Linked DNA regions of Anolis sagrei. The protein of the gene in region 1 interacts with the protein of each later gene in a pairwise test. Links are inferred from orthologs where the notes say so. Each region holds a gene or a part of one and is shown in the gene's direction. Other genes may lie near its edges.

Region 1 (10,372 bases):
CAATTTCAACAGAAAGGAAAAAACCATTAAAATAAACAAAATCTGGCAACCAGTATTTTAAAAAACTCTAAAATCAAGAAAGTAAATAAAGATGTACACTCAGAAAATGGAGGAAATCCAGACAGCAAACAATCAGGGCCAACTAACACCTCTGAACAAAGAATTCCCCCAGGCAGGAAGCAGCCAGACTTTGAAACTGCAAAGCCATTCAATGCTAATCAAGCTGGTCAAGGGCAATACCAGTTATGTAAACCCTACTTGCCTAATTTCCAACACAACCTCTGAGGATGCCTGTCATAGATGTGGGCAAAACATCGGGAGAGAATGCTTCTGGAACATGGTCAGACAGCCTGGAAAACTCACAGCAACCCAGTGATTCTGGCTATGAATGCCTTCAAAAACATATTATTAAAACATGTTGTTGTTGTTGTTGTTACATAATCTGTGCAGAATTTTTCTGAAACACTAAAGCTTTTTTATTTATGTGTAGAGGCACACAACAGATACATGGGAGCATTCTTTGCAGAATGGCTGCCAAGCCCCATAAGGCTTATACAGTAAGGCCCTATTAAAAAGAGCCGCTACATAGAGGCCTGTAAAGTAAGCCCCTCTTTAAAATGGCCTCTTTCCCTGGGTAATAATTGTATTGTGGTTTTGTGTTTTTTGTTGGGTTTTTGTTTTGTTTTGCTTCCAGGGAGAAAAAAGAAAAGGTATAGCATAAGAAGCAAGCATTCAACTGGGAAGAAGCCATCACTGGTGCCGGAGAACCTCAAGCAGCCGTCACAGAACACAAAAATCACGGTGATTTGGAGGCGCTACTCTGCTTTTGGTAGACGGGAATCTATGAAGAGCACCAAGAGCCAGTTGGAAGAGGAGGAGGAGGAAGCTGGCCCCAGCCAGAAACCCAAGGAAGAAGAACCCAAAGCAGAACCCTCCAGCCCTTGAGCCATGGGAAACCTGGACACAGAAACACAGAGCAGGTTACGGCAAGTGGGTCCCACAATATGGACAGTCTTACAGATAAGGGGAATAAACTTTTAACTATCACGCATGCCCTCCGTGATCTGGAATAGTAAATGCCTTGCTTTTGCAAGAGTGATGGCTTTTTATTCCCACTCCCCAGACAATTCCAGGTCAGTTTCATTTGGTGAGTATTGTTGATGTGGACATGCTGCTGGGACAAGTAAGGAGGACAACCTGCTTTCTTGATCCCTGTCCCTCTTGGCTGGTTGTCCAGGGAGGAGCTGTAATTTGATCTCAAATATAACAAGTTTTTAATGCATCTCTCAGGGAGAGGGATTTTCCATCCTGTTTAAAAGAAGTCTTCCCTGGATCCCCTTTGGTTCAGTCGCTTCCGACTTTTCATGGCCTCATGGACCTGCCCACGCCAGAGCTCCCTTTCGGCCATGGCCACCTGCAGCTCCTTCACAGTCAAGCCAGTCCCTTCAAGGATACTGTCCATCCATCTTGCCCTTGGTCGCCCCTCTTCCTTTTTTCCTTCCCCTTTCCCAAGCATCATTGTCTTCTCCAAGCTTTCCTGTCCTCTCGTTATGTGGATAAAGTACTAACCTTTGTCTCTAATATCCTTCCCTCCAGTGAGCAGCCAGGCATTATTTCCTGGAGGATGGACTGGTTTGATCTATCAGTGCAATTTGCTGGCCAACTTACTTATTATTTTCTGGTTTCTGAGAAAAACACACTGACTGCTTCTCTGGTGATTCTGATTCTTGTGCTTTCCAGCAGCTTCAGAAATCACAGCAGACGTTTGATGTTTCCCTCTCTGGCAGATCATTAATCGTTCAGGAATTCAACAGCGGAAGCTTGCTGTTGGGTTCTATAACCCTTTTCAGTGCAATTTGCTGGCCAACTTGCTTCTTATCGTCCAATTAACTGACTTCAGACAGTTGTTTCTGCTTAAGTAAGCTTAAGCCTGGAACCCCAGGTTTCAGCGGTGACCAGGGGAGCATTTGTACAATTAAAACTTGTGTGCCAGTTGCGCCCATACCTTGGGAAGTCAGACTTGGCTACAGTGGTCCATGCTCTTTTTACATCCCACTTAGATTACTGCAATGCACTCTATGTGGGGTTGCCTTTAAAGACGCCCTGGAAGCTTCAGCTAGTCCAACGGGCAGGGGTCAGACTTCTAACGGGAGCGGTGTACAGGGAACATACAACTCCTCAGCAGTCAGCTCCACTGGCTGCTGATATGCTACAGAGCCCAATTTAAAGTGCTGGTCTTGGCCTATAAAGCCCTAAACGGTTCTGGTTCAACTTATCTGTCCAAATGCTTCTCCTCTTATGAGCGTATTAGAATTTTAAGATCTTCTGCTCTCGGTCCCACCTTCTTTGCAATCACGACTGGTGGGGACGAGAGACAGGCCTTCTCCATGGTGGCCCCTCGGCTGTGTAACTCTCTCCCCAGCAACATCAGACATGTCCCATCCCTTCTGGGTTTTAGGAAAAAGCTGAAGAGTTGGCTGTGCGCACAACCATTCAAAGAATACGTTTCTATGGTTTTGACATGATCTGGATTAAGGATTATGAGCAGGGTTATGGAACTATGCACTTTATGTGCTTTTTAAATTTGTAAATTGATACATTTTATTGTTGCTTACTGTTTAATGTTTATTGATATATTTTATTATTGCTAACTGTTTAATTTTTATTGTTAGTACTGTTTTTTACCGACAGTGAATTTTGCTGGAATTGTAAGCTGCCTGGAGTCCCTTCGGATGAGAAAGGCGGGGTAGAAATAAAGCAAATAAATGAATGAATGAATGAATAGTGGCTCTTTATTTACATTTCATTAATTGCAGTAACACTTACTCGTTAGCACAGTCAGATGCAAGGGAGAAGAGCAGAGAAATAATAAAATGGTGTCTGCTCTATTTATACACTGCTATCAGCTCATTAATTCAGTGTCCAGCCTCCTAGTCTATTATGAAGCTTGTCTGTCCCACACATGCTTCATAACTTAACTCTCACAGCTAGCAGCATGGACATTTTAAACTTGTACAATATATAGACATTACACTGATACGATCTTCTCGCGGTCCAAGGCACTCTCAGAATTTTTCTCGAACACCACAGCTCAAAAAGCATCTCTCTTCCTTTGCTCAGCCTTCCTTACAGTCCAGCTCTTGCATCCATAGCTTACTATGGGGAATATCATTGCTTTAACTAGGCAGATCTTTGTTGCCCGTGTGATGTCTCAACTCTTCACTATTTCATCGAGATTGGTCCTTGCTCTCCTCCCAAGAAGGAAACGTCTTCTGATTTCCTGTCTGCAGTCCACATCTGCAGTCATCTTCATATCTACACATACAAAGTCTGTCACTGCCTCTATGTTTTCTCCCTCTATTTGCCAGTTATCCATCAGTCCGGTTGCCATCATCTTGGTTTTTTTTATGTTTAACTGCAACCCAGCATTTGCACTTTCTTCTTTCACCTTGGTTATAAGGCTCCTCAGCTGCTTCTTGCTTTCAGCCATCAAAGTGGTATCATCTGCATATCTAAGGTTATCAATGTTTCTTCCAGCCATTTTAACTCCAGCCTGGGTTCGTCAAGTCCCACACGTCGCATGATGTGTTCTGCATACAAGTTGAATAGGGAGGGTGAGAGTAGACAGCCCTGCCGTACGCCTTTCCCAATCTTGAACCAATCTGTTGTTCTGTGTTCTGTTCTTACTGTTGCTACTTGGTCCTTATACAGATTCCTCAGGAGAGAGACAAGGTGACTTGGTATGCCCAGACCACCAAGAACTTGCCACAATTTATTATGATCCACACAGTTAAAGACTTTAGAATCATCAGTAAAACAGAAATAGATGTTTATCTCAAACTCCCTGCCTTCCTCCATTATCCAGTGGATATTGGCAATTTGGTCTCTCGTACATAGAATCATAGAATCAAAGAGTTGGAAGAGACCTCATGGGCCATCCAGTCCAACCCCCTGCCAAGAAGCAGGAATATTGCATTCAAATCACCCCTGACAAATGGCCATCCAGCCTCTGCTTAAAAGCTTCCAAAGAAGGAGCCTCCACCACACTCCGGGGCAGAGAGTTCCACTGCTGAACGGCTCTCCCAGTCAGGAAGTTCTTCCTAATGTTCAGATGGAATCTCCTCTCTTGTAGTTTGAAGCCATTGTTCCGCGTCCTAGTCTCCAAGGAAGCAGAAAACAAACTTGCTCCCTCCTCTCTGTGGCTTCCTTTCACATATTTATACATGGCTATCATATCTCCTCTCAGCCTTCTCTTCTTCAGGCTAAACATGCCCAGTTCCCTAAGCCGCTCCTCATAGGGCTTGTTCTCCAGACCCTTGATCATTTTAGTCGCCCTCCTCTGGACACATTCCAGCTTGTCAATATCTCTCTTGAATTGTGGTGCCCAGAATTGGACACAATATTCCAGATGTGGTCTAACCAAAGCAGAATAGAGGGGTAGCATTACTTCCTTAGATCTAGACACTATGCTCCTATTGATGCAGGCCAAAATCCCATTGGCGTTTTTTGCCGCCACATCACATTGTTGGGTCATGTTTAACTTGTTGTCCACGAGGACTCCAAGATCTTTTTCACACGTACTGCTCTCGAGCCAGGCGTCCCCCATTCTGTATCTTTGCATTTCATTTTTTTTGCCAAAGTGGAGTATCTTGCATTTGTCACTGTTGAACTTCAACAGTTTTGAACTTAGTTTTGGCCCATCTCTCTAATCTGTCAAGATCGTTTTGAATTCTGCTCCTGTCCTCTGGACTATTGGTTATCCCTCCCAATTTGGTGTCGTCTGCAAACTTGATGATCATGCCTTCTAGCCCTTCATCTAAGTCATTAATAAAGATGTTGAACAGGACCGGGCCCAGGACGGAACCCTGCGGCACTCCACTTGTCACTTCTTTCCAGATGAAGAGGAAGCATTAGTGAGCACTCTCTGTGTTCGTCCACTTAACCAATTACAGATCCACCTCACCGTAGTTTTGCCTAGCCCACATTGGACTAGTTTCCTTGCCAGAAGGTCATGAGGGACCTTGTCGAAGGCCGTACTGAAATCCAGGTACGCTACATCCACGGCATTCCCCGCATCTACCCAGCTTGTAGCTCTATCGAAGAAAGAGATCAGATTGACTAATGGCAAGATCAGATTACATCTGGCAACTCCCTCTCCATGTATTGCTGGAGTCTACCTTGCAGAATCTTGAGCATTACCTTACTGGCATGTGAAATAAACGCCACTGTACAAAAGTTTGAGCATCTTATAGCGTTTCCCTTTTTTGGTATGGGGATATAAGTTGATTTTTCCAATCTGATGGCCATTCTTGTGTTTTCCATATTTGCTGGCATATGGCATGAATCACCTTGGACCTTGATAACTACAGACTAGTGTCCAACGTTTCTTTTTTGGGCAAGGTGATTGAGAAGGCAGTTGCCTTCCAACTCCAGGCGGTCTTGGATGCTACACACTTCCTCGACTCATTTCAAACCAGCTTCAGAGCAGGATACAGAGTTGAGACTGCTATTGTTGTACTGGATCTCCATCTCAACACCAACGGGAGTGTGTCCCTGTTGGTGCTTCTAGACTGCTCAGCGGCCTTCAGTACCGTGGTATTGGGGAAACCTTTCTGGAATGCCTATGGGGAAGGCTGGGAATTGGAGACATTGGTTCTGGATTCTGGATGGTGGCACTTGGGAATAGCTGCTCCTTGAAAAGGGAGCTGTTACGTGGTGTCCCACAAGGTGCCATTCTATCCTCATAGCAGCCACTGGGAGGGATCTGTAGGTATGGATGCAGTGTTACAGGTATGCTGATTACACCCAAATATTTCTTCATGCCTTCTAAATCAGCTTCAGCTAAGGATAGCATGTTTCCTTTGAAAGAATGCCTGGATGGATCTGGACCAAACTCGGCACGATTACTCAATATGCCCAGATGCGAACACTGGTGGAGTTTGGGGAAAGTAGCATCTTGACATTTGGGAGTTGTAGTTGCTGGGATTTATAGTTCACCTACAATCACAGAGCATTCTGAATTCTACCAACAATAGAATTGGGCCAAACCTCCCACACAGAACCCTCATGATCACCAGACTGGGCCACAGCAACGCCTGGCAGGAGACGGCTAGTGGATAATAAAATGGTGATGATGGGGTCTCTGTAGATTTTTAATCTGAAGCTGTCAGGGGGGCTCTGGCGGTGTCTTCCTGCCTGGCGCACTGAGGCCTTCCGCCTGAGTTTGAGGCTCGATTCCAGAAACCCTTGGCAACCGGAAATCTCTTCCCAAGCGAGGCTTGTTTACATCCCCCCGCAGGATCCTTCCCTTCCGCTTCCTCCTTGTTGCCAGGCAACTTCCTCCCGTTTTTTGGGTCTAATGAGGCGAGTGGCGTGACGTATGCAGTGGGGCGGGGACTCTCGACGTCGTGCGTGTGACGCGGCAGCCTGAGGGAGTACGTGGCAGTGACGTCCGCTTGTTTGGCCTTTCGGTTCCGGGGGAAGGCGGCCGGTGTCGGAGGCTCGGGAGTCCGGCGGCGTCTCGGTGGGATTTGGGCCTGTGGGGCCGGTGAGTCGCGGGCGGGAGGGAGGGAGAGCGGGGAGGCGCTTCTCGGCGAGGCCTCTCCTTGCGAGGTAGGCCTCTCTCTCTGGAGGCCGCTTTCCCCTACGGATGGTGCCCCACAGATGGGTTCCTAGAGTGGGAAGGGGCCCCCAAAGCCACCTAGCCCGAGCCCCTTCTGCCAGGCAAGAAGGCACCTTCAAAGCCTCCTGACAGATGGCCCTCCAATCCAGCCTCTGTTCCAAAAAATCCAGAAAAGGGGGAGCTGAACGTGTGGGGCCAAAAATCACAGAACCCTAGAATCTGAAGGCAGCCCAGAGGCCATGAAAGCCAACCCTCTTCTCCCCATTCAATCCCTCCTGACACAGAACCACATGGTGTCACAGAATCCTAGAATTGGACGGGATCCCAACCTGCTTCTGCCAGGCATCACCATCCAAGCCCTCCCAACAGACTGTTTAAAAATTCCAAAGGAAAGAAGGGGACAGAGAAAGAGTTAAACATGTACTGACATTGTGCTTAAAATTGTAGAATATTGGGAGTTGTATTTATTTATTTATTTATTTACTTTATTTGTATACCACTCTTCTCAGCCCTTGGGCGACTCAGAGCGGTTTACAACAGTTTAGGTATACAGGATACAAAATCTTTATGCATTTAAAATACAGAAGCATCACAAGTCATTAACATCATTAACATAGGCATCAAAACATCAATACATCAATATAACAAATCCATCTGGTCTAGTCGGTGAAATCAGAATCCAAAACCCATTGTCCGTTATTCCATGTTCCAATAATCAGTTAATCAATCACACTGCTTAGTCAAATGCCTGTTCAAACATCCAGGTCTTTACTTTCCAACAAGGAATGCCAGCAAGGAAGGGGCCAATCTAATACCTGCAGGAAGGGCGTTCCACAGCCGAGTGGGCCACCACGGAGAAGGCCCTGTCTCTCGTCCCCGCCAGGCGTGCTTGTGAGGCCGGCGGGATCGAGAGCAGGGCCTCCCCAGACGATCTTAATGTCCTAACTGGTTCATAGGAGGAGATGCGTTCGGACAGGTAGGTCGGGCCAGAACCGTTTAGGGCTTTAAAGGCTAAAGCCAGCACTTTGAATTGTGCCCGGTAGCAAATTGGCAGCCAGTGGAGCTTGCGCAACAGAGGAGTGGTATGCTCCTGTTAGCAACCTGGCTGCTGATCGTTGGACCATTTGAAGCTTCCGAGCAGTCTTCAGAAGCAACCCCACGTAGAGAGCGTTGTAAGGGAATCCAGGGGCTATCTAATCCCACCCTTTTCTGCCAGGCTTCTCTGGCAGAAGGGTTATCTGTCAGGAGGGATTTAATGGTGTCTACACTATCAGATGCTTCCTAATAGATAACCATTCAACCTCATAGGCCTAGAGGTTGAAGGGACCTCAAGGGCCATCCAGGCAGGGGTGTCCAGTCAAAGCCCTCCAACAGATGACCAAAATTTATTTATTTATTTATTATTTGAACATATGCCGCCACTCCCCTGGGGCTCGGAGCGGCTTACAAGAATAGCTAAAATCTAACAAAATTTAAAAGCAATTTAAAAACAATTTAAAAACAACAATATCAAACATTAAAAGCCTGTCGAAACAGGTATGTCTTACATGCCCTGCGGAAAGCTGGTAAGTCCCGCAAGGCACGGACTTCAGGTGGCAGAGTATTCCAGAGTGATGGGGCCACTGCTGTGAAGGCTCTGCGTCTGGTTGCTGTTAGACGCAAGGTCTTGACACTGGGAATTTCCAATAGATCTTGGTCCTCAGAACGGAGGGATCTCTGGGGTTGGTAGGGGGTGAGGCGGTCCCTCAGATACATCGGCCCCAGACCATGCAAGGCCTTAAAGGTGAGTACCATCACTTTGAAAGTGATCCGGTGCTCAATTGGTAACCAATGCAGCTGCAGTAAGATTGGTGTTATGTGACATCTCATCGGAATTCCCGCAAGAAGCCGAGCAGCTGCATTTTGTACCAACTTGAGTTTCCGGATCACCGACAGAGGAAGACCAATGTAGAGGGTGTTACAGTAGTCCAGTCTTGAGATGACAGTGGCCTGGATCACCATAGCTAGGTCGTCCCTGGACAGGGAGGGGGCCAGCCGTCTAGCCTGCCGCAGGTGAAAGAAGGCGGTTCTGCTAACAGCAGAGACCTGGGCCTCCATCGTCAGCAGACGGTCCAAAAGGACTCCCAGTCTCTTGACCAATGATGACGGGTGTTGCGCCTCGCCATCCAGGGGCTTTTATATCTTGTCCTTTCTCAACCTCTGCAGAGGGACTCAGGATGGTTAACAAAGTGGCACCCCATGGTGCCCACATCAAAACATAAATATACAATTAACAGTAATGTAATAATAACAATATAAAACCGTATAAACAATATAAAAACAATATGAAAAGAGACAACAAATACTCAGCAGTCACTGATTTAAATCATTATCCAAGGGCAGTCCATCGGTTCTAAATCAGTCAACACATCAGTAGGTCAGCGTATTCTCCAAAGGCCCATAGCCAGGATTTTACTTGTTTCCGGAAGATCAAGAGGGATGCAACAGATCTAATTTCATTTGGGAGGGAGTTCCACAGCCAGGGGGGCACCACAGAAAACGCCCTGTCCCTTGTCCCCGCCAGACGCGATTGTGACAATGGGGGGACAATGAGCAGGGTCTCCCCAGATGATCTTAGGGCCCGAGGTGGATCATAGTGGGAGATACGTTCGGACAGGTAAACTGGGCCATCCAGCATTTGCTTAAAAACCTCCGGTAAAGGTGATTCTAAGGCAGCACATTGCACTGTGAAATGGCTCTTACCACCAGGAAGTTCTTCCTAATGGACATGGATTTTTCCTCTGCAGTTTCAACCCATTGCTCCATTGTGTCCTGTCTACTTGCCCTCTCCTCAGTAGACCTCTTTTTCAAATATTCAGACATGACAATCATGTCCAAGCTGAAGAGCCTCCACCTTGTCGATATCTTACTTGAATTGTAGTGCCCAGAACTGGAGACAGAGTTATTTCTCCTACCGTTTGTTGGGTAAATGAGTATAGAAAATTGCTGTATGGTGATTGTAGCAGAATAGTGGTGATAATATTTAGGTTCTGCTTCAACCAGGACAACGTTGCTGTGTTTATGTATTGCATTTATATCCCACCTTTCCCCATTGCACCTATTTCTCTATTTTATCTTCACAATACTCTTGTAAGGTAGGCCAGAGTGAGGATTTTATTTTTTAAGACAATGGAAACGTTTATGAGAAAGTGTTGTTGATCAACAACTCACATCCAAACAATGGTGTTACATCACTGGGAGGGTCTCATATATATTTCTTGTCAGTCATTTAGATCTTAAGAATGGAGTTTTCCATTTCAGCCGTTGAGCATTGATGGCTCTCTTCTATATCCTTTTAGCATCAGGTTATGAGCCTCCATGTATACGAGGAGACGCCACGGCTCTAGAAACACCGAGCAAGGCGTTTACCTGGGACCTTCCCAGACCCAAGTCCTGCCACCACCACTTGCTGCAACTGTCAATACTGCCACCGCATCTCCGGCCGCACCGTCCCCACCCCAGTGGGACACCATGTCCTGTCAAGACCGCACCCAGGAGTTCCTCTCAGCCTGCAAGTCTTTGCAAAGCAGACAGGTGAGTTGCCCCTTCCTGAAGTCTGTGCAGGATGAAGCTGGCTCATTTCAGGCTCGATTTAGCAGCAATTTAGCAGTAAGCCTTTGGTCCTGAGAGTAGTAGACAACTATTATGCAGTTCTTCGGTACCAATCAATGGCAAGTTTTTAAGACTGAAAGAAATAATTGTAGCCAGTTT
Region 2 (10,508 bases), on another chromosome or scaffold:
TGCCTCTTCGAATTCTGCAGCACTGCTGGTCACAGCTAACCTCCAGTTAGAGTGCTCAAGGGTTATGGCTTCCCAGTTCTCGGTGTCTATGCCACATTTTTTAAGGTTGGTTATAAGCCCATCTTTAAATCTCTTTTTCTGTCCACGAACATTATATTGGGTGATGGTCACTCGTTGGCCTGAGAGGTGTATTGTGTCCAAATTTGGCATCAATTCGTCCAGTGGTTTTTGAGTTATGTTAATCCCACAAACGAACATTACCTTTTTATTGATATAGAAGACTAGCTGTCCCCTGCCATGCGTTGCTGTGGCCCAGTCAGTGTATATGTGTTTTGTGTGTGTATATTTGTATTTGCATATATATGTGTGTGGTTTTGTGCATGTGTTGTAATGTATTTTTTTTGTTTTTTGGCTTTTTAAGTTTCTTCTGTTGTGTTTTTCAGTGTTTTTATGACTGATGGTCACTTGTTGGCCTGAAAGGTGTCTTGTGTCCAAATTTGGTGTCAATTTGTCCAGTGGTTTTTGAGTTCTGTTAATCCCACAAACGAACATTACATTTTTATTTATATAGAATATATATTCTATATAAATAAAAATGTAATGTTCGTTTGTGGGATTAACAGAACTCAAAAAACCATTTTTATTTATAAAGAATATATATCTCCAGCAAAGGATCACCGCCTTGTCGGGGCGCTGGAGCTTGAGCACCTCAATGATGTCATGAGCGAAACCGTGAAGGGCCACCCAAGACGGGACGGTTGTGGCAGAGAGGTCAGACCAAGCGTGATCCCTGGGGAAGGCAATGGCAAACCACTCCAGTATCCTTGCCAAGAAAACTAAATGGACCAGTACAACCAGAGATATGTCGGTATGCCATTGGAAGATGGGACTCCCAGGTCGGAAGATGGCCAAAATGCTACTGGGGAGGAGCAGAGGATAAGTTCAACTAGCCCCAGATGTGATGATGCAGCTAGCTCAAAGCCGAAAGGAAGGCTAGCGGCCGACGGTACTGGAGGTGAACGACGAATCCGATGCTCTAAAGATCAACACACCATAGGAACCTGGAATGTAAGATCTATGAGCCAGGGCAAATTGGATGTTGTTATTGGTGAGATGTCAAGACTAAAGATAGACATTCTGGGGGTCAGCGAACTGAAATGGACTGGAATGGGCCACTTCACATCAGATGACCACCAGATCTACTACTGCGGACAAGAGGAACATCGAAGAAATGGAGTAGCCTTCATAATTAATAAGAAATTCGCTAAAGCGGTGCTTGGATACAACCCAAAAAATGACAGAATGATCTCAATTCGAGTGCAAGGAAAGCCTTTCAACATCACAGTGATCCAAATATACGCCCCAACCACAGCTGCTGAAGAAGCAGAAGTAGATCAGTTCTATGAGGATCTGCAGGACCTACTGGATAATACACCAAAAAGAGACATTATTTTCATTACAGGAGACTGGAATGCCAAGGTGGGAAGTCAAATGACAACTGGGATCACAGGCAAGCATGGTCTGGGAGAACAAAATGAAGCGGGACGCAGGCTGATAGAATTCTGCCAGGAAAACTCGCTGTGTATAACAAACACTCTCTTCCAACAACCTAAAAGACGGCTTTATACATGGACCTCACCAGATGGTCAGCACCGAAATCAGATTGACTACATCCTTTGCAGCCAAAGGTGGCGGACATCCATCCAGTCGGTGAAAACAAGACCTGGGGCTGACTGTAGCTCAGATCACGAACTTCTTATTGCCCAATTTAGAATAAAACTAAAGAGATCAGGGAAAATACACAGACCAGTTAGATATGATCTCACTAACATTCCTAGCGAATATACAGTGGAAGTGAAGAACAGATTTGAAGGACTAGATTTAGTAAACAGAGTCCCAGAAGAACTATGGACAGAAGTCCGAGACATTGTTCAGGAGACGGCAACAAAGTACGTTCCAAAGAAAAAGAAAACCAAGAAGGCAAAATGGTTGTCTGCTGAGACACTGGAAGTAGCCCAAGAAAGGAGGAAAGCAAAAGGAAACAGTGAAAAGGGGAGATATGCCCAGTTAAATGCGCAATTCCAGAGGTTAGCCAGAAGAGATAAGGAACTATTTTTAAACAAGCAATGCATGGAAGTGGAAGAAGACAACAGAATAGGAAGGACAAGAGACCTCTTCCAGAAAATTAGAAACATTGGAGGTAAATTTCAGGCAAAAATTGGTATGATAAGAAACAAAGATGGCAGGGACCTAACAGAAGCTGAAGAGATCAAGAGAAGGTGGCGAGACTATACAGAAGATCTGTACAGGAAGGATAACAATATCGAGGATAGCTTTGACGGTGTGGTGAATGAATTAGAACCAGACATCCTGAGGAGTGAGGTTGAATGGGCCTTAAGAAGCATTGCTAACAACAAGGCAGCAGGAGATGATGGGATCCCAGCTGAACTGTTTAAAATCTTAAAAGATGATGCTGTCAAGGTGATGCATGCCATTTGCCAACAAATATGGAAAACACAAGAATGGCCATCAGACTGGAAAAAATCAACTTATATCCCCATACCAAAAAAGGGAAATGCGAAAGACTGCTCAAACTTCCGTACAGTGGCCCTTATTTCTCATGCCAGTAAGGTAATGCTCAAGATCCTGCAAGGAAGACTCCATCAATACATGGAGCGAGAGTTGCCAGATGTTCAAGCTGGGTTTAGAAAAGGCAGAGGAACGAGAGACCAGATTGCCAATATCCGCTGGATAATGGAGAATCTCGATAAAATAGTAAAGAGTAGAGACATCAGACTGGCAACAAAGATCCGCCTAGTCAAAGCCATGGTATTCCCTGTAGTCACCTACGGATGTGAGAGCTGGACCTTAGGGAAGGCTGAGCGAAGGAAGATCGATGCTTTTGAACTGTGGTGCTGGAGGAAAGTTCTGAGAGTGCCTTGGACTGCGAGAAGATCCAACCAGTCCATCCTCCAGGAAATAAAGCCCGACTGCTCACTGGAGGGAAAGATACTAGAGACAAAGTTGAAGTACTTTGGCCACATCATGAGACAGGAAAGCCTAGAGAAGACAATGATGCTGGGGAAAGTGGAAGGCAAAAGGAAGAGGGGCCGACCAAGGGCAAGATGGATGGATGGCATCCTTGAAGTGACTGGACTGACCTTGAGAGAGCTGGGGGTGGTAACGGCCGACAGGGAGCTCTGGCGTGGGCTGGTCCATGAGGTCACGAAGAGTCGGAGACGACTGAACGAATGAACAACAACAATGGAGAAAGGCAGGGAGTTTCAGAAAAACATCTACTTCTGCTTCATTGATTATTCTAAAGCCTTTGACTGTGTGGATCATAATAAATTGTGGCAAGTTCTTGGTGGGATGGGCATCCCAAGCCACCTTGTCTCTCTCCTGAGGAATCTGTACAAGAACCAAGAAGCAACAGTCAGAACTGACCACGGAACAACAGACTGGTTCAAGATTGGGAAAGGCGTACGGCAAGGCTGCATCCTCTCACCCAACCTTTTTAACATGTATGCAGAACACATCATGCGATGTGCGGGGCTGGATGAATGCAAAGCTGGGGTGAAAATTGCTGGAAGAAACATTAACAACCTCAGATATGCAGATGACACCACTCTGATGGCCGAAAGCGAGGAGGAGCTGAGGAGCCTTCTAATCAAGGTGAAAGAAGAAAGCGCAAAAGCCGGGTTGCAGCTAAACGTCAAAAAAACCAAGATTATGGCAACAAGAATGATTGACAACTGGAAAATAGAGGGAGAAACCGTGGAGGCCGTGACAGACTTTGTATTTCTAGGTGCAAAGATTACTGCAGATGCAGACTGTAGCCAGGAAATCAGAAGACGCTTACTTCTTGGGAGGAGAGCAATGTCCAGTCTCGATAAAATAGTGAAGAGTAGAGACATCAGACTGGCAACAAAGATCCGCCTAGTCAAAGCCATGGTATTCCCTGTAGTCACCTACGGATGTGAGAGCTGGACCTTAGGGAAGGCTGAGCGAAGGAAGATCGATGCTTTTGAGCTGTGGTGTTGGAGGAAAGTGCTGAGAGTGCCTTGGACTGCGAGAAGATCCAACCAGTCCATCCTCCAGGAAATAAAGCCCGACTGCTCACTGGAGGGAAAGATACTAGAGACAAAGTTGAAGTACTTCGGCCACATCATGAGGAGACAGGAAAGCCTAGAGAAGACAATTATGCTGGGGAAAGTGGAAGGCAAAAGGAAGAGGGGCCGACCAAGGGCAAGATGGATGGATGGCATCCTTGAAGTGACTGGACTGACCTTGAGGGAGCTGGGGGTGGTAACGGCCGACAGGGAGCTCTGGCGTAGGCTGGTCCATGAGGTCACGAAGAGTCGGAGACGACTGAACGAATGAACAACAAAGAATATATATATACTAGCCACTCTTTGCTGTGGCCCAGTCTGTGTATATGTTTGTGTGTATATATATGCGTATATGTGTGTCTATATATTTGTGTGTGTGTATATTTACATCACTTATATCCCGCCCATATCAGCCCGCAGGCGACTCAGGGCGGTCTACATATCAGCACAATTTGATGCCATCAATACAATACAAAAGCAAAAACAATTAAGTGCATTTAGACAAGAAAGACAGTGCAATAACAATTTAAAAAGAGCTATATCCTCTCATTCCAATCCTCATCCGTTTCATCGTCTTGGCCGTTCCTGGGTCATTCTCCATCTCAAGCTTGACTATTCCGGGGTTCTGAATGCCTGCCAGGTTTTCACTCTCTTACGAAAGGTCAGGAGGGAGGGGGCTGATCTAATATCCCTAGGCAGGGAGTTCCACAGCCGAGGGGCTGTGTGTTTGTGTATATATGTGCTTTTGCGCAGGCACTGTAATGTATTTTTTTGGCTTTGTAAGTCTCATCCACTTTGTCTTATTTTAGTGTTTTTATGGATAATGGTCACTCGTTGGCATGAGAGGCAGGGCTGTATCCAGAAAAAAATTTCGGGAGGGGTTGAAATTTTCGGGGGGGGGGTTGAAAATTTTACAGGGTGTGTGTGTGTTGAAACCTGCCTCCTAGCTCACGCTGAAGCAAAGAGCACAGCAGGGGGCAGAGCAGCCTTCAGTAGCCTGCAGCTCCGCCCCTGTCAACCACCTCCACCAAGTCTGGCCTCCTTAATGAGAATATTCAACACACACACACCCAACTTGGTTGCTTCACTACATCGGCTATTGCTGCAAGTAATGACAGTGTGAATAAATTGTCAATATTTGCTTGAGATAGTGCTTGCAGTTCTGGAGGGACTCTTTAATTTTTTGCATCTCATAGATTTAGCATGGGGATTTGGTTAACCAGTTAAAATTCATGAGTAAACCAGGGTTTTTTTTAAAAAAAATCTGAAACATTTCGGGGGGGGGTTGAACCCCTAACCCCCCCACCCCCCCCCCCCCCACCCCCCGCTACAGGCCTACTGAGAGGTGCCTTGTGTCCAAATTTGGTGCCAATTCGTCCAGTGGTTTTTGAGTTCTGTTAATCCCACAAACTAACATTACATTTTTATTTATATAGAAAAGATAGATAGGTAGATTAGCAACACCCTCTCTGAGGGGGTCCCCCGGTGCAGCTCCCACTCCCACGTGGGCCTCTCCAGGCGACACCTAACACAGGTTGTCCTCTCCTCCAGCAACAGGTTGGCTCTCTCTGGCTTGGGAGGGGCCTACCCCTTTAAGAGCGACTTGCGCTCAGGTAAGTGGGCGGGGCCTCCCGCTTTGACCCCGCCCACCCTGCGTATGTCATGATGGATTAGCGGCGGCGGCGGGGAGCTCAGCGCCCGAGGATCAGACCCAGACGGGGAAGGAGGGGGAGGAGGAAGAGGAGGAGGAGGAGGAAGAGGAAGAGAAGAGAGCAAGTGGGGAGGGGGCGTCTCTCCCCTCCGCCGCGGCCAGGCAGAGCGAGTTCCCCTCCCAGCCAAGGCAAAGAGGGCGAAAGCGGAGGAGGAAGCCGTCCTTCCGTCGGGGCCGGGAGGCCACTTCCTGGAGGGGAGTTTCGCCCGGGTCCACCTGCAGAAAAACAGGAGGAGGAGGAGGAGGAGGAGGAGGCACACACCTGTCCAAAATGAAGGACCGGCTGGAGCAGCTGAAGGCGGTGAGCAAGCCCCCTGCATCCACTTCCCTCTTTCCCTTCTTTCCTTCCTTCTAAACTGGGGAATTAATGCACTTTGACACCGCTTTAACTGCCCTAACTCTACTCTGGGACCCTAAGAGTCTTTCTCCTTCTCTGCCAAAGAGTGTGGGCGCCTCACCAAACTATAACTCCCAGGATTCCTCATAGCATTGGGGTGTCAAGCTGTATTAATCCCAACCATAGGGACTGTAAAGGGAAAGGGCCCACTTTGGAATAGTGTGGCTATTGGTGGGAATCCAAAGACTGGGTCCTTAAGGTAAAAGTCACCCCTAAATTTGGAAAATAATAATATAGAATATGGGGCGGGGGGTTGGAATAGGCTTCCACAGCTCTGTAGTTTCCAAACCTGCCAATAGTGGCTGGCAAAGTGAGGGTGGGACTGTTTAGTAGTGCTCTAATGCAGGTATGGGCCAATTTGGGTCCTGCAGGTGTTTTGGACTCCAACTCCCACCATTCCTAACAGCCTCAGGCCCTTTCCTTTTCCCCCTCCGCCGCTTAAGTTGGAGTCCAAAAGTAGTTGGGGTCCAAAACACCTGCAGGACCCAAGTTGGCCCACACCTGCCATAATGGATCTGAGAATATGTCCATTAGGGAACCACATGCACACCTTGCAATGTGGCACTGTGACCAAAATAATAAAACCATTTGAAGATGGCTAGGAGGGAGTCTCTGTTTCCCGCCACTTTTCCCCCCACCAAGATCAGTAGAGTTGGCAACTTCCTCTTTTTGGCTTCCCGCCTCCTGTCACTTTTATTTTTTTTTCCTTCCTTGGTGCACTCAGATATGTGCCTGCGGACATTATCTATATAAGATGTCACAAGAGCATTATAGGCCCAACCAGGGCTGAAGTGCTGGTTTCATATCCTCTCTCACATAACATTTATGGCTCAGTTGACTTGGAGCTGCCCCTCCCCTTGTTCTTCAATCCTCAGTTCAGAACATAATGTTCAGTCTCTCAGCTTGTGGTCACTTCTGAAGGTGCAGCTACACTGTAGAATTAATGCAGCTTCACACCACTTTTAACTGACATGATTCAGTGCTAAGGAATCATGGGAGTTGGAGCTTTGCATGCTTTTACTCTTGGGCCCTTCCACACAGTCCTATATCCCAGAATGTGAAGGCATGAAATCCCACAATATCTGAGTGTGGACTCAGGGCCCTTTCATACAGCCCTATATCCCAGAATATCAAGGCAGGAAATCCCACATTATCTGAGTGTCAGCTCGGGGCCCTTCCATACACCCCTATATCCCAGAATACCAAGGCAGGAAATTTATTTATTTACTACTAGCCGTCCCCTGCCACACGTTGCTGTGGCCCAGTCTGTGTATATGTGTTTTGTGTGTGTGCATGTGTGTGGGTGCATATTTTTGTGTATATATGTGTGTGTGCGGTTTTGTGAATTCATTGTAATGTTTTTTGTTTGTTTTTTGCTTTTAAGTCTCTTCTGGTGTGTTTTTCAGTGTTTTTATGAGTGATGGTCACTTGTTGGCCTGATACATGTATTCTGTCCAAATTTGGTGTCAATTCGTCCAGTGATTTTTGAATTATGCTAATCCCACAAATGAATATTACATTTTTTTATTTATACCTAGCTGTCCCCTGCTACGTGTTACTGTGGCCCTGTATGTGTGTTTTGTGTGTATATGTGTGTGTGTGTATATATTTGTGTATATATGTGGTTTTGCACATGCGTTGTAAAGTAATTTTGTTTTTTGGTTTTTTAAGTCTCTTCTGTGTTTTTCGGTGTTTTTATAAGTGATGGTCACTCGTTGGACTGATAGGTGTATTCTGTCCGAATTTGGTGTCAATTCATCCAGTGGTTTTTGAACTATGTTAATCCCACAAATGAACATTACATTTTTATTTATATAGATATTTGTATACCGACCTTCATAGCCCTTAGGCGACTCACTTCTGAAGATGTAGCTACACTGTGAAATTAATGCAGCTTCACACCACTTTTAGATGACACAATTCAATGCTAAGGAATCATTGAGTGAATATCTGAGTGTAGGCTCGGGGCCCTTCCACACAGCCCTATATCCCAGAATATCAAGACAGAAAATCTCGCAATACCTGCTTTGAACTGGGTTATCTGAGTCCAGACTCAGATAATGTGGGATTTTCTGCCTTATATTCTGGGGTATAGGGCTGTGTGGAAGGGCCCTCGGATGACCCAGGGCCCTTCCGCACTGTCATATAACCCAGAATATCAAGCCAAGAAATCCCACAATATCTGCTTTGAACTGGGTAATCTGAGTCCACACTGCCATATATTCCAGTTCAAAGCAGACAATGTGGCATTTTATTCAGCTGTGTGGAGGTTGTTCCAGTTCAAAGCAGATATTGTGGGATTTTCTGCCTTGATATTCTGGGATATAGGGCTGTGTGGAAGGGCCCCTTCTCTGTCAAAGTTCCTATCTAAAGTAGAACGACCAGAATTCCATAGTATTGAGCCTTGGCAGTTAAAGTGGTGTCAAACTGCATTAATTCTACAGTGTAGATGTACCTTGAAATCAACTCTTTAGTGCTTCTTGGGCCCCTTCCACAAAGCTAAATAAAATCCCACATCTGCTTTGAACAGCGATTTATGGCATTGTGGACTCAGGGCCCTTTCACACAACCCTATATCCCAGAATGTCAAGGCAGAAAATCCCACATTATCTGAGTGTGGACTAAGATAAACCAGTTCAAAGCAGATATTGTGGGATTTTCTTCCTTGATATTCTGGGGGCCCTTCCACACAGCCCTATATCCCAGAATATCTTCTTTGTACTAGGTTATCTGAGTCCACACTGCCATATATTCCAGTTCAAAGCAGAAATTGTGGGCTTTTATTCAGCTGTGTGGAAGAGTCCTCAGATAACCCAGTTCAAAGCTGATATTGTGGGATTTTCTGCCTTGATAGTCTGGGTTATATGGCTGTGTGGAAGGGCCCTTAGTTTTCAGCTGAAATCCGTCATTTTTAAAAGGAGGAAAAACACAAGTGTCTGGCCTGTAAGACAAGTTTGCTTATGCGTCTCCTGAAGTACATCTTTATTGAGTGCATCATCATGGTGTGACGTGATATGCAGATGGCATAAACACAGCTTCTCACAGTTTTTATTGCCAGAGAGTGTTAGTAGTTCAGCATGTGCCAGACTTGGCAAAGGCCTAGGCATGCTACTTCTTTCATATTTGCTGACTTCAAGGTGATGACCTGTTTCACACTCCTACGTCTAGCTCTTTTCTTTTTCTCAGTGTAAATAACTTGTGTTACTTTATTTATACCCCTCTCTTCTCACCTTGAAGGGGATTCAGTGCGGCTTTACAAACTACGGCAAAAATTCAGTGCCTCATTTTGCACATAACAAAAACATAGCACATTAAATTATAAAACAATTAAAACATATAAACAGTTAAAACCTATAAAACACAGTAAAATAGTTAAAAAACATAAAAAGTTCTGAGTCATTATTTCCAAACATCCAGTTTTCCATGGTCATTATCTGGACTGCAAGGTTAAAGTCAAATTCCACGTTACCCTATTCTTTGAATGCTTGAGCACAAAGCCAGGTCTTTAGCTTTTTACCTGAAGACCAGGAAGAATGGGGCCAATCTAATTATTTATTTATTTATTTATTTATTTTATTTACTTTGCTTATATACCGCTGTTCTCAGCCCGAGGGCGACTCACAGCGGTGTACAACATAGAAACAGGTTCAAATTCAAGACACAATCTAAAATAATCAATCTAGCATTAACCAAAAACATCGTCATCAAAAACATCATCAATAATACAAAAGCCATTCCACGTCGTCTCATCGTCTAAACCACAATCCAGTATCATTTTCCGTTGTTCCATTCCTGTCGTCATTACCAATTATTGCACTTCTTGTTCGAACGCCTTCTTGAACAGCCAGGTCTTTAATTTCCTGCGGAATATTAACAGGGACGGAGCCTGTCTGATGTCCACGGGAAGGGTGTTCCACAGCCGAGGAGCCACCACCAAGAAGGCCCTATCTCTCGTCCCCACCAGGCGTGCCTGTGAGGCAGGCGGGATCGAGAGCAGGGCCTCCCTGGACGATCTCAAAGTCCTGGTGGGCTCGTAGGTTGAGATGCGGTCGTAAAGGTATCTTGGGCCGGAACCGTTTAGGGCTTTATAGGCCAACGCCAGCACCTTGAATTGAGCCCGGTAGCAAATCGGCAGCCAGTGGAGCTGGTACAATGTCACTAGGGAGGGGGTTCCACAGCTGAGGGGCCACCACTGAAAAGGCCCTGTTTCTCATCCCCACCAGTTGCACTTGGGAAGTGGGGTGGAACCAAGAGCAGGACCTCCCCAGTAGATCTTAAAGCTCATAAA

What was found. The genes of interacting proteins can lie anywhere in the genome.
Region 2: the proteins of STX5 (region 1) and STX3 interact in binary tests that used the Homo sapiens proteins (3 or more experiments, as listed by UniProt). The link is inferred for Anolis sagrei from reciprocal best matches to the Homo sapiens genes STX5 and STX3.

Annotation. Positions count from the first base shown.
Region 1 is NC_090032.1:12,411,233-12,421,604, reverse strand, and holds the start of STX5 (syntaxin-5), read left to right. Parts: upstream 1-6,413; 5' UTR 6,414-6,547; intron 6,548-9,960; 5' UTR 9,961-9,979; coding exon 9,980-10,195; intron 10,196-10,372. Other genes in the region: TEX54 (testis-expressed protein 54), read left to right, coding at 695-945. UniProt on the Homo sapiens protein: Mediates endoplasmic reticulum to Golgi transport.
Region 2 is NC_090021.1:234,867,198-234,877,705, forward strand, and holds the start of STX3 (syntaxin-3), read left to right. Parts: upstream 1-5,763; 5' UTR 5,764-6,094; coding exon 6,095-6,124; intron 6,125-10,508. UniProt on the Homo sapiens protein: Potentially involved in docking of synaptic vesicles at presynaptic active zones. Apical receptor involved in membrane fusion of apical vesicles.